3 linked regions of the Oryctolagus cuniculus genome follow. The protein of the gene in region 3 interacts with the protein of the main gene of each other region in a pairwise test. Links are inferred from orthologs where the notes say so. Each region holds a gene or a part of one and is shown on either strand. Other genes may lie near its edges. The genes, in order: MYLIP, RASSF2 and RASSF5.

The links.
Region 1: the proteins of RASSF5 (region 3) and MYLIP interact in binary tests that used the Homo sapiens proteins (3 or more experiments, as listed by UniProt). The two-hybrid records come from large-scale screens. The link is inferred for Oryctolagus cuniculus from reciprocal best matches to the Homo sapiens genes RASSF5 and MYLIP.
Region 2: the proteins of RASSF5 (region 3) and RASSF2 interact in binary tests that used the Homo sapiens proteins (3 or more experiments, as listed by UniProt). The link is inferred for Oryctolagus cuniculus from reciprocal best matches to the Homo sapiens genes RASSF5 and RASSF2.

What each region holds. Positions count from the first base shown.
Region 1 is NC_091436.1:143,408,872-143,413,244, reverse strand, and holds the start of MYLIP (E3 ubiquitin-protein ligase MYLIP), read right to left. Parts: upstream 2,913-4,373; 5' UTR 2,691-2,912; coding exon 2,604-2,690; intron 1,586-2,603; coding exon 1,395-1,585; intron 1-1,394. UniProt on the Homo sapiens protein: E3 ubiquitin-protein ligase that mediates ubiquitination and subsequent proteasomal degradation of myosin regulatory light chain (MRLC), LDLR, VLDLR and LRP8. Activity depends on E2 enzymes of the UBE2D family.
Region 2 is NC_091442.1:29,939,629-29,943,857, reverse strand, and holds the start of RASSF2 (ras association domain-containing protein 2), read left to right. Parts: upstream 1-1,402; 5' UTR 1,403-1,500; intron 1,501-1,585; exon of another isoform or gene 1,586-1,830; intron 1,831-2,120; exon of another isoform or gene 2,121-2,349; intron 2,350-2,570; 5' UTR 2,571-2,645; intron 2,646-4,229. UniProt on the Homo sapiens protein: Potential tumor suppressor. Acts as a KRAS-specific effector protein. May promote apoptosis and cell cycle arrest. Stabilizes STK3/MST2 by protecting it from proteasomal degradation.
Region 3 is NC_091444.1:21,763,563-21,766,540, reverse strand, and holds the end of RASSF5 (ras association domain-containing protein 5), read right to left. Parts: intron 2,191-2,978; coding exon 2,038-2,190; 3' UTR 583-2,037; downstream 1-582. UniProt on the Homo sapiens protein: Potential tumor suppressor. Seems to be involved in lymphocyte adhesion by linking RAP1A activation upon T-cell receptor or chemokine stimulation to integrin activation.

The sequences.
Region 1 (4,373 bases), on a different chromosome or scaffold from region 3:
ATCACTTTCATTGTTTAAATGAAGTATTTGGCCCTCTAAATGTGTGCAGATTTAAAACATTTAAATTGGGTTGTATCTGGTAGCCCGAAATAACTGAAAAATCATAAGACTATGTAATGAAAATTCCACTATGCTTTGTTATATATACTTTGTCTTTTATTCTACTGTGAGTTACGGCAGTGAAGTGCAAAGCAGAAGCTTTCAAAAATTAGTTTAAAGAAAAAAAGCCCATTTTGATTAACATAGACAGCTATAACTTCCTTAAGCATGCTGTCACTTGAATATTTTGCAAGATATTTTCAAGAGCACTAAAAATTCAGTATAACTGCTTCCTTCAGAAATAAAACATTTTCCTCAACATTTTGAGTTTTATAAAAAAACAAAGTGGAAATTTCAAACTCAAATAAATACTATTTCAAAATGTATTTCTATCAGCTCTCTGATAAACAAACCAAAAAAAAATCTTTAAAGAATATTGCTCACTCATCATTATTCAAAATTTTCAGAATCACATTTTTCACATGCATGGCAGATTTCCAAGGCAAAGGATTATGAAAAACATTACAGCTTAGATCCAAGTTTGCTGTTTTTAAAAGTAGCCATTTTCGTTTTTTTTCTTTTTGACTGCTTTAGTAAGACTGAAGTCTTGCATTTTAGCCATAAATATTAAACATAACTTTCCTAGTTTCACTCACCCTTGAGAAAAGTACTAAGTCAGTGCCAGAGAGAACACATTTTTGTTTAAAAAAGATCATTTGCTTCAGTTGTCTACCACTAGTGGTGGATTTTCACAAGGCAGAGAGAGACTCCCCAATCGTGTGCAATGTATTTGTGGGTTAGGATTCAGTTACAGTAGCCTTAAAAGAGTGCTCTTATTAAGTTTTCAAGAAACTAAAAACTTCAAAAATTCTGCACAAAGCCTGACAGAGTTCTCTGCTACACACTGTAATCTGACACTGGCCGAAGCTGACCAAGTTTAAGTAACCCAAGAGGAACTGTTTCCTGCTTTCTGTTAGAACGTCCACAGTGACCTACAGTAACACTGCCGAGGCAGAGGTTACTATCGGCCATTGGATGCTGCTGTCAGGAAGTAGGCAGTTTGGTGTTTCTCTGGCTGGTTCTTTTTTTTTCCCCCATGTGACAACAATCTCAAGGGTTTGTGGGAATTCTACCCAGCTCTCCCATTAAGTTTATAAAAACAGGAGCTGCAAAATGCGCCCAGGCCAACTATGTGGCTCCCTCTTCAACCAAAGGGCTGTGCCCTGCAGAACGTGGGTAAGGAAGGCATTCACCGCACCAAATTTGCCTGTGAACACCCCGGGGAGGCTGCTCCGGCGCCCCCTAAACAGAATCTAAGGTGCATCTGACAAGGGTCTATCTGAGTGCCGCTTTACCTCGTCTGCTCCTGTAAGATGAGATGAGGCTCCACGAAGAACTTGACTCTGAGTTTAAGCCGGTAAGGGGCCAGCCCGTCCATCTGCTGGGAGATCCGGTTTCTCAGGTTTAGCCATAAACTTTCACCTTTGCTACCGGTAAACTGCAGTCCAAAATAGTCAACTTCTATGATTCCCAGTCGCCTGCACACCTGAAGTCAAAACAAAGGCGGCACGGATGAGCAAACGGGACATGGGGTCAAAGGAACCCGGGGCTCTCTGGAGCTGAAGACTGCTACAGTTCTGCCAAAACCCACCGGTGCTGCGACGCTAACCGCTGGCTCCAGGACGGAGACCTGTCCCTCCCTCCCTCAATATCTAGGGCATGCCCACAGCAGCCCAGAAAGAGCAGTGCTCAAGAGCAGGGGCATCTTCAGGGTCTCTTCCTTCTGACTCCAGTCACTACGATGCCCGGTACCAGCACAATCCACAGAGCTGCTCCGACAGCTATTATCTGGGTAGTGTTAACCACCTGGACTCCAAACACACACACACACGCACGCACGCACGCGAGACCCGCCACAAGTGTCAGCTGTGCGTCACACGAGGTTCTCCAAACCTCTCCTGTCTACACGGCGTGGGAGCACAGCGTCCCCTGGGATCAGACCTGCTGCCTGCCGAACCAGCTCGGTTCCCCCTTCGCTCTGGAAGGAAACGCGGGCTTCAAGGCAGCCAAGCAGGTGCACCCACAACTACAGTACCTCTGCCCCCGCCCGCAAATCCGAAGATGCAGGTGAGTGCTCCGCTGGAAACGCGGCACGGGACAAGGGCCAAGCTTGCCTGCCAAGGCACCCTGGGCCCGAGACCGCGTCCACTCACTCCTTTTTGGGACGTGGGTGGCACTGCAGGGACCCCACCGGCGGCGTCACGCACACACACCTGAGGCAAGTGTGCTGGGCCGCCTGGCTCTGGCAAAGTGCCGGCTTGCGGGGGGGCTGGGCTGCGCTCCGGGCTCTGCCCGCGCCCCCGCGCCAGGGGCCCCCGCAGCGCGCATCCTCCGCACCCCGCCAGCGCGCCCGGGAGGGGGTCGCGCGCCGCACGCCCGCAGCGGGATCGGGGTGCGGGGCCCGGTGCCTGCCTGGGGCGCGCTCCCTGAGGCGCCCGGCCGCCTTCGAGGCCCGTCGGCCTCTGGAGACCGACGTGGGCCCGGACCTGGGTGCTCGCTCTCACCTGATTGAGGCAGTCCTCGCCGTTGGCTTTCGCCTCCACCTCCACCTCCATCAGCACCGCGTCCGGCCTCGTCACATAGCACAGCATGGCTGGGGCCGCCGCTGCCGCCACGGCCACCTCAGCCACCTCCTCTTTGGTGTACGCGGGGCTACCGCCTCGCCAAAGCTCGAACCCAGCCCCGGGCTCGGCGAGGGCTGCAGACAGACGCCCGCGGCCGCAGCTCCGTCCCCGCCACCCCCTCGCCCGCCAGCCCGCCCGCCCTGCCGGCCCCCGGGCACTCCGCGGCGACGCCGCACTCCAGCAGCCAACTGCCTGCGCCGCGACAGGCGCTCCCCTGATATAGCGGCTCCGCCCCCTCCGGCTCGGGACCCGGCCAATCGCGGCGCCCCTGCCCCTCCTCCCGCCGCCCCATCAGCCAATCGGGGAGCCCGCTCGGGCGGCCCCGGCCACCAGCGCCGCCTGAGTTCCCCGTGCCGCTGCGGGAGGCGGCCGCTGGCGGGCGCCTGGAGCCGCGAAGGGGTTGGGGGGGCCCGGAGAACACCCGGTGCCTGTGCCCGCTGGGCGACGCTGCTCCTCGCGAGCGGTCGCCTCGGGCTGCTGGCGGCGACGTCTCCCTGTCGGGGGCTCGACAGTGAGAGGACTAAACGCCTCCAAGCTGCCCCTGAAACATGGGGTCCCTCCAGGAGGGCGTTTGGGTCGCGAAAGCCTAAAAAGAAGAGGAGCCCCCGCGGAGCCCACGGACGCCTACCCGCCCCCTCCGGGTTTGCCTCCGTGTCTGGTTGGGGACGGCAACCCAGGCGGTCCCTTCGTGTAGACCCTGGCTCCGAAATAACAGCGACTGAATGTCAGAGCGCCTTGCAGCCGCTCGCAGATGAGGGTCGGCCCTCTCTAGGGGCTTCTGTTGGCTGAGCCCTGCCGAATGAAAGCCCCCCGTCACGGGGCCCCAGGCCTTCTCTCAGGCTGCCCATCCCGTCTCAGGTCTTACCTCGGCTCAGTCAGCCAGCATTCAGGGAGCCCCTGCTGCATCGGGGACCCCCCACCCCACCCCGCCGTCATGTTCCCTGTTCCGTAGTAGCTATTTAGCAACTGGAACTCCACAGCTCTTCACTCAGTTACTGTTTATTCCTGCTTACCAGTGCATTACTCAACCCACATCTCGGGTTTCTTTGCAGGAGGAGCCCCAGGCCTTTGGAAATTTTACTTCTCTCTGAGGCCCAGTGTTGCCAACTGCTGCTAGGGTGGAGCCCAAGACATCTGTTCTATGGGCCGCCAGAGCAGCCAAGGGGAGACCATCCATGACAGCATTTGTGTCCTTGTGTTTAATGCCAGAGCTGTCATGTCCGCCCCGGTCACTGCCTGCTAATGATGGCTCCCGTTCCTACCTCTTTTCGGGTGAATCTCTGTGCCAGGTCGCTTGATTTCTGTTGTAGGAAAGGCAGCAGAGCAGAAAGCAAAAGAGAGGGAGCCTACCACAGGCCCTCACCGAAAGGGGCACAAACTGGACTAGGGGCCAGCGTTGTGACACAGCAAGTTAAGCTGCTGCCAGCCTCACTGCTCCACTTCCCAGCCAGCTCCCTGCTCATGCACCTGGGCAAGCAGCAGAAGATGGCTCAAGTGCCTGGGCCTTGCCACCCGTGTGGGAGACCTGGATGGAGTTTCAGGCTCCTGGCCTAGACTGTCGTGGCCCTCTGAGCTCTGTGTCTCTCCGCCTTTCTCTGTAACGCTACCTTTCAAATAAATAAATAAATCTTAGGGGGAAAAAGAAGAAAC
Region 2 (4,229 bases), on a different chromosome or scaffold from region 3:
ATGAGCAGCTATTCCTTTCTCTCCCATGGCTTCCGAATGAGAAAAAGAATGAATGAAAAGATGTTTCCTAATACCTTGAATCAAATACCTGATCAACTGAGAAAGGAGAGAGATGGATTTGGTTTTGAACAGGGCCTGCAGGCAGGCGTCCTGGCAGCCCAGTTTGGACAGCAGGAGCCAGATGCTTGCTCATAGGACGCTCACCTGTCCCAGGGTGTGCCAGCGAGTTTCTCTTCTGGGAAGTGGCAGTAGAGGCTAAGGGATTTCAGCAGGAGCCTCTGGGTACTTCCACATCAGAGTGCCAAACCCAGGGCTGGGAGTTAAAGCGACGCTGTGTCAAGTGTCCAGGATGCAGGGAAGGCCACTGTGAGACGAAAGGGGAAAGAGACGGAGACCCCCTCCCAGCCGGCTCCCTCCAGCCTCTGGCTTTGCCTGTCTGAGCTCTCCATGAAGCCCCCTGGAGGAAACCCCCTGTGTCCTCAGAACACATTCCCCGGGGGCATTCCCCTTACCCGCCCGCAAAGGACAGGAGCTTCACAGCAAAGAGGCTCCAGCGGGGAACAGGAAGGCGAGAGCTTCGTGCTTCGAGCCCCCAGCACGGGCTGCAAACCCCCGAGGATACTTTTCCCCGGTGCAAGACGTCGCCCTGCTCCCGGGCGCGGAGCATTCTCAGCACCGCCCCACAGCTGCACTTCGGGCTCTGCAGACTTGCACCGGGCCGAGAGCGGATCCCCATGTGCGACATTGTTTCTAAGGGAGACGCATTCCAAGATGCAAACAATGTGCGGCGCGAAGAACGCTCCGCTTCCAGGCGGGGTTGGGGCTTGGCCACCCTGCACCCTTAGGACCCCTTCCTCTTGGGCGGGGGGAGATGCTGCAAGGTGGGCGGCAGGGAGAAGGTGGGATTCTGATAAGAGAACAGGAAACTCGCATCCGGGGTGCTCCAGGGCCTCCCGTGCCCTGGAAGCCCCCGGGCGGGAAAGATGGACAAAGAAACTTGGCCTCGGTCGTGCTTCGCTGTCACGTCTGCCAGCCCGCCACGGCGCAGGGGCCCACTAGCCGGCGCCCGGCTCAGACCTTGCCGGGAAAGGGTCGCGGTGTCAGGAAGGAGAAGCCCCCTTATCCTCTGCCCGGGGCAGGGGGGATCCGGGGCGCTCCAGGTGGGCTCGGCGGGCGTGGGCGTGGCTGTCACAGTGCCGGGCGCGCCCGGGAGCCCGGGAGCCGGGTCAAGTCTGCACCCCGCTGGGCGAGGGCAGCGGCGATGGAGCGGCGGGGGACCCCTCCCTCCGCACCCCCGCACGGCCGCCCCCTCCCACCCCTGCCGCCAGCCCGGAAGAAGCGTGGGCCGCGGGAGCCGGGACGCGCAGCCACAGCTTTGTCTGGGAGGGAGGGGAGAAGCTCCGCCCCCGGCGGGGAGGGGAGGAGGAAGAAAGGCGAGGGCAGAGGGTGCGGGAGGGATGGCGGGCGAGAGAAAGAGGGGGGAGCGGACGCGCAGACCCGGTAGGCTGATCAAGGCGGAGGGGGAGGAGGGAGCGCGAGGCTGGGCGAGGGGAGGGCGGGGCGGGGCGCCCGACCCCCACCCACCCTGCCCCTGGGGTCGGAGCCGGGCCTGAAGACCGCTGACAGAGGCGCGGCTGAGGCAGCTCCCCGGCCCCGGCACCCCCGCTTTCCAACTCCACGGTCCCCGCGGCGAGCGCGGGGTGCAGCTCGCCCGGGACGCAGGCAAGGCGCGGGGCGCAAGGTGCAGGGCTCGGCAGTCCTCTCCCCCGAGTCCCTCGCCTCGCCCAAAGTTTTCTGGCGGTGGCCCCTGCTTCCAGTCCGGGTCAGCGGGTCAGTCCTCTCCTGCCCCTGCGCTCCTCCCTCCTCCCGCAGCTGCGGGCCTTCCCGGGCTTGCGGACTCACCCCCACCCCTCATAGACCCCGCAGGCACCCGGCCCTAGCCCGCCCGCCTTCCGGCCGCAGAAAGTTGTGGCTACGAGCCGGTCCTCTCCTGGGATCCCTGGGGGGTCCATCCTTCTCTGTGCGCCAAGGGTGGAGGCGGGAGTGCGCCCCCACCCGTCCCCAGGGGCTCCGGGTCTCCCGGGCGGCAGGTGCAGGGATAGGCAGGCCCGTACATCCGCGGCGAGTCCCCGACCTCTATCCTCCCCGCTTCTTCCCTGCGCGACCGACGGGGCCCCAGAGGCGAGTTCCAGTCCCCGGCGCGGGGAGGCGGCGCACCCACGTCTCCTTCTGCCTCGGGTCCCCTGGTTCTCGGGGCACTTCCCTTTTTCGGTCTCCCAGCTCGCTTCCGAGCTGGTGCCGGAGGTCGCTGGGGATTTCGGCGTAGCGTCCTCTCTCGCCCGGAGCGAGGCAGGTGCCTAGGGCGGCCTCAGGCCACTTCTGCATTTTCAGCGCTTACTTTGCACTCAGCTCTAAGCTCGCGGCGCCCTGGGGACCGCAGAGTGGCGGTGGCTCTGTTTAAGCTCTTGGGGGGTAGGGAGGGAAGAGGAGCTGCGAGAGTCCTGCGCCGCAGGGACAGCAGACCCCGCACACAGTACTAATCAGCGCTGCTGCGCGCCCTTTATTCGCAGGTGTCCGGAATCCGCGGGTCTAGCACGTGTTCTCCGGGGGCGCAGAGACAGGGGACGCAGCCGGCCAGCGTTACAGTAAGTCCTGGCGGTGATTGTAGGAGCGGCTGAGCTGACAGGAGTTTCTCCTGGAGGGGACTCAGCTCCTGCCACTGTTGATTCTGGGATCATGGGGAGAAAGAACTAGAAACCATAATTGTTTCAAAAGGGGAAAGGCAGCCAGGGGGGCCTAGGGTGGAATCCCAGGTTGAATGGAACTTGCAACTTTTTCTGCAGGTGGAAGAATGAAACTTCTCATGGTCAGACACATTGGGTCGCTTGAGGAGAATTCATGTTTTTCAACTTGTAGCCAAATGCTGAGGTGTCCCACAGAAGTGGGGCCATAGGCAGGCCACTGGGCCCTTGGCCTTAGCAAAGATTGGGACCTGACTTGTAATCTGCCTGGGCACTGGGGAGTGTGGGCAGCTGGGGTTTGTGATTCCCTGTGCTGGGGAGCCTGGGAGGTGAGCCCTGTTTGCCAGGGGTGGAGTCCAGGGGAGACCCGAGATAATTCCTGGGGTACAGCTTATATATATCCTGGGTAATCCACTTCCCTCATTGTGTGTGGTGGAAATCAGGTTAGAATAATGGGGGGAGAAACCTGAGAAGCCTGGCGGGAGGAGCCCCTGGTCGTGCTTCCTTCAGGGACAGGTGTGTGTGTGTGTGTGTGTGTGTGTGTGTAGGGGTGCCTGTGTGTGTGTGTGTATGTGTGTATGTAGGGGTGCCTCTGTGTGTGTGTGTGTGTGTGTGTGTGTGTGTGTAGGGGTGTCCTCTGCTTTTAGCCAAGCAGGCCAGAGCACGGGCTGTACCTGCACCTGCTCCAACTCCGGCCAGCATCATCCCCACCTTCACAGGGGCAGTGTCCACTTTGTCCCTGGGCGCCGCAGTCCATCTCTCTCTGCATCTCTGCGCGGCTTCTGCTTGGAGACTCAGACTTTCTCCCCAGTTTGTGTTCTCTTCAGAGAACTTCATTGCAAGCCCTGGGCTCTCTCTTCCTTACCTTCCAATGCTGGGGCTCGCTCGCCTGAGTCTGCTTTTGTTTCTGTTTCCTGGTGCCCCGGAGCCAGTCTTCGTGTCTCTGCTCTGTGCGTGAGCTGCTTAGCAATGGCTGAGAGCGTCGACTGGAGAGCTGCCCGGGGCTGAGCATCTTGGCACCGCAGCTGCCTCAGAGGGCTGGCCAGAAAGGGGAGCTGTCAGCAGAGCGTGGGGGACCTTGGCTGGGGAGTGTGCTCCGGCCTCTTTGGGATGCTTTGGCAGGAAGTAGCCTCACTGTACGGGAGGTGGGGACAGAGAGTCAGGGCCAGGTTGCCAGAGAGGCTGGGAAGTGGAGCGAGTGATGTCAGGAGTGGCCCCAGGACTTGCTTAAGTCTTGCCCTTCCCGTGCGCACGTACCAGTGCAGCTACGTCCTTGGAATAGAACAGGACTTCCAGTCCCTGTCTTCCAGCTGTGGCTGCAGAGTGGCTGCAGCTGGGATTATAAAGCCCCAGGTGACAGTCCCTCCTGTCATGCATCACAGCCCAGGCCAGCTGTTTACCCCACTGACACACTGTCCCATGAACACCTCCCTGCTTCCCAGAAGAATTTTAAAAGAGTCTTGGAGGTGGGGCAAGCTCCACCAGTCT
Region 3 (2,978 bases):
TTTTTTTTTTTTACAACTCATATAAGAAAGACATTTAAAAAGAAACTATCCTGAAAACAAACCCAGCAACTCCACCAGAGAAGGCACTAGCAGCAGCTGCCCCGCCCACCTCGGGAGGGGAGGGCCTCGGCGCAGCCTCCCACCCGAGTCCCGGGTCTGACTGTGCTTTAGAGACTCTGCATTTCCCCTAACTCTCTTACGTCATAAACACCCTTATCTCTATATATAGTTATATGCCTTTATGTATATATGTACATGACTTTTCTTCTCAAAAAATAAACGCCGCCCCCAGGGAGGGAGGTCTCAGCAGCATTCACAGCGGTTGCAGCAGGAGCCACGCCTTCTAGGAACCTCGGGTCGCACGGGCTGAGGGGAGGGGCCTCCCTGCCCCCTTTCAGAGGCAGGGGTGGGGGCTGGGGGGTGGGGGGGTGGTAAGGCTGAGCGTGGGCGGGCAGATCACCGAGTTGTTGCGGTTTAAGAAAATCTTCAGGGCGGCCAGCCTGTGTTGCTTTTACGGCTCTGAAGATGGCAGTGAGCACCAAGGGTCAGCACTCTTTCTGGGCCCGGGGCCGCATGGGCTTAGCTGGGGTCAGGGAGGGAACTTCCGAGCCTACACGGGGGAGCTTGGCCTTCAGCCAGCCCAGCAGGGGCTCAGGGACGCAGAAGACAGCAAAAAAAAGTTTCTCAGAGGCTGGATTGGAAAAACCTGCCCTGCTCTGAATATGCAAGTCCTCTTCCCTCCACACTGGAGTGTCTTCGCAGTCCAGGCCGCTTGGTGGGATGGTTGGCTCATTGAAGTCTGAACCGATACACCGGAGCCAGAACAAAGGTACAGGGCTGGGGCTCTGATCCCCTCAGTAACTGTCTGCCGGCACGTCTCGGGCGTGAGAGCCCTGGAACCTAGACAGGATGGAGGTATGGGACCCCAGCCCCTCAGGAGCCACAGCTCCCCTGGCAGGAGCAAGCCAGCCTCAGGGCTTCGAGCAGTCACCCCTGTTATCTCTGGAGACAAAGGCACTGAGGTCAGTGGGGAGCCCAGGCCCCTGGGCTTGCTGAGCACGGTGCCACGGGCCAGCCCACACTTCAGAGCAAAGGGCCAGCATGTTGGCCGGGCTGTGGGTTTCCCTCCGATCAGAGCAAACCCTCACGTTGCACCGGGCGATCCCAGAGTTCCTCAGCACGAGGGAGGCAGTGCTGGAGGCCTGGGGGAAGCCGAGGCAGCCCAGGCCTTCTCACAGGTCGGGTGAGGCTGAAGACGGCTTGCGCATGGTCATCTGCAATTCAGGCTTGCTGCCTGATTTCCGTGCTCAGCGGGAGGCTTCCAGTGGTCAATGGCTGGTTTCCCTTGGGTGGAAACACATGAGAATTCTAGTGACGTTAAATGTAAACTTAAACTGAAAAGCAAGTTTAGACAAAGATGTGACTACCCGATGGCCACAGATACATGCCTTTGGGTTTGCAAAGAGGGCCAGCGGGGCCAGGGCAGGCTGCAGCGTCTCGGCGCCAGTCAGCTTTGGCGCTCCCAGGCCTGGGACTTTGCGGATCTCCCCTCTGCAGGCAGCCTGGGGCAGGGGGACGATGCCCTGAGCACACTCCTGCCTGCCAAAGGCACATGCTCCAACTCATAAATAAAGGCGCCCAGGGGGAGGAATACGGGCGACTGAAGAATCAAAGCCAGAGGGAACGTAGCTCTTAACACCGCTTCCTTTTCCTTTGCCGGCTGGGGTGACAGGTTCCAGTTTGGTGACGAGAGACGCGACTATTTGGCTTCTGAAAGGCTTGCAGATTGAGAGGACAGTGCTGTTGGTTTCACGGAAGTGGCCCCTGACAGAGTCTACAGGGGCCACAGTTGGGGGTGGGCAGGGGCCAGGCCGCCCCTCCCACGCACAGACGCTTGTCCACGGAAGAAACTTTGTGCCTCATCTGCAACTGCTGGGCAGGCGCGCGCACCCGCCAGAGGGGTCCTGAGAAAAGTGTCCGTTGCAAAATAATTAAAAATAAATCCGAGGGCATGGGCAGGAAGGGCGGCAGGACCGGTTACCCAGGCTTGCCCTGGGATTCCCTTAGGGCCGCCTCCAGCTGTCGTCTAAACTTGCCGTACTTCCTCTGCACCTGCTGGATTTTGTCCTGCTCCTCCTTCTCCAGGATTGTGAGGAAGTTCTGGAGCTCAGGGATGGAGAAGGCGTCCCACTGTGTGAGGAGAGAGGGGGGGTTAGACGCGGCCTACAGCAGCGGTGCACGCGGCTTGCTACTGGATAGGCAGGGACAAGGAGCGGGGCTCGGGCTTTGCTGTCTGAACCGCGACGGTGCAAGTCCTCGCGTCTCCTGCCCAAGAGTTACCTGTCCATGCACTGTGTGTGCTTGGATTTGGAGAGTCAAGTTTTCTGTGTAGCTGCTGAGATTTTTTTTTTTTTTTTTAAGATTTTTATTTATTTGAAAGAGTTACACAGAGAGAGGGAGGCAGAGAGAGAGGTCTTCCATCCGCTGTTCACTCCCCGGATGGCCGCAACGGCCGGAAGCTTCTTCCGGGTCTCCCACGTGGGTACAGAGGCCCAAGGCCCTGGGCCATCTTCTGCTTTCCCAGGCCATAGGCAGCTGAGATCTTAACAGTGATGCTAGGAGCACCCCGGACCCCCAGCGGCAGGTGGAAGAGGACACCAGGCCTTGAGCCTGACCCCAATCCTGCACCGGCTGTGTGACCTCAAGGACATCACCCCACCCTTGTTTTCTCATTCCTCAAGAACTGAGGGTCTCTGCCGCCCGTGGCAGACCAAGAACGAGAGGTAGAGCCAGGCCTGCAAGCCCCAGCTCGGGAGTGCTCCACGGGGCCAGCGCTGGTCACACATGGAAGCAGCCTCTACACACTGGACAGGTAAAGGTTGCGGCAGCAATGCTGCCTGCCTGAAGTGGAGAAGAGGGACAGAGCCCTGCCTGGCTCTCCCAGATCTCACAGTGACCCGCAGACTGCTCCTCCAACC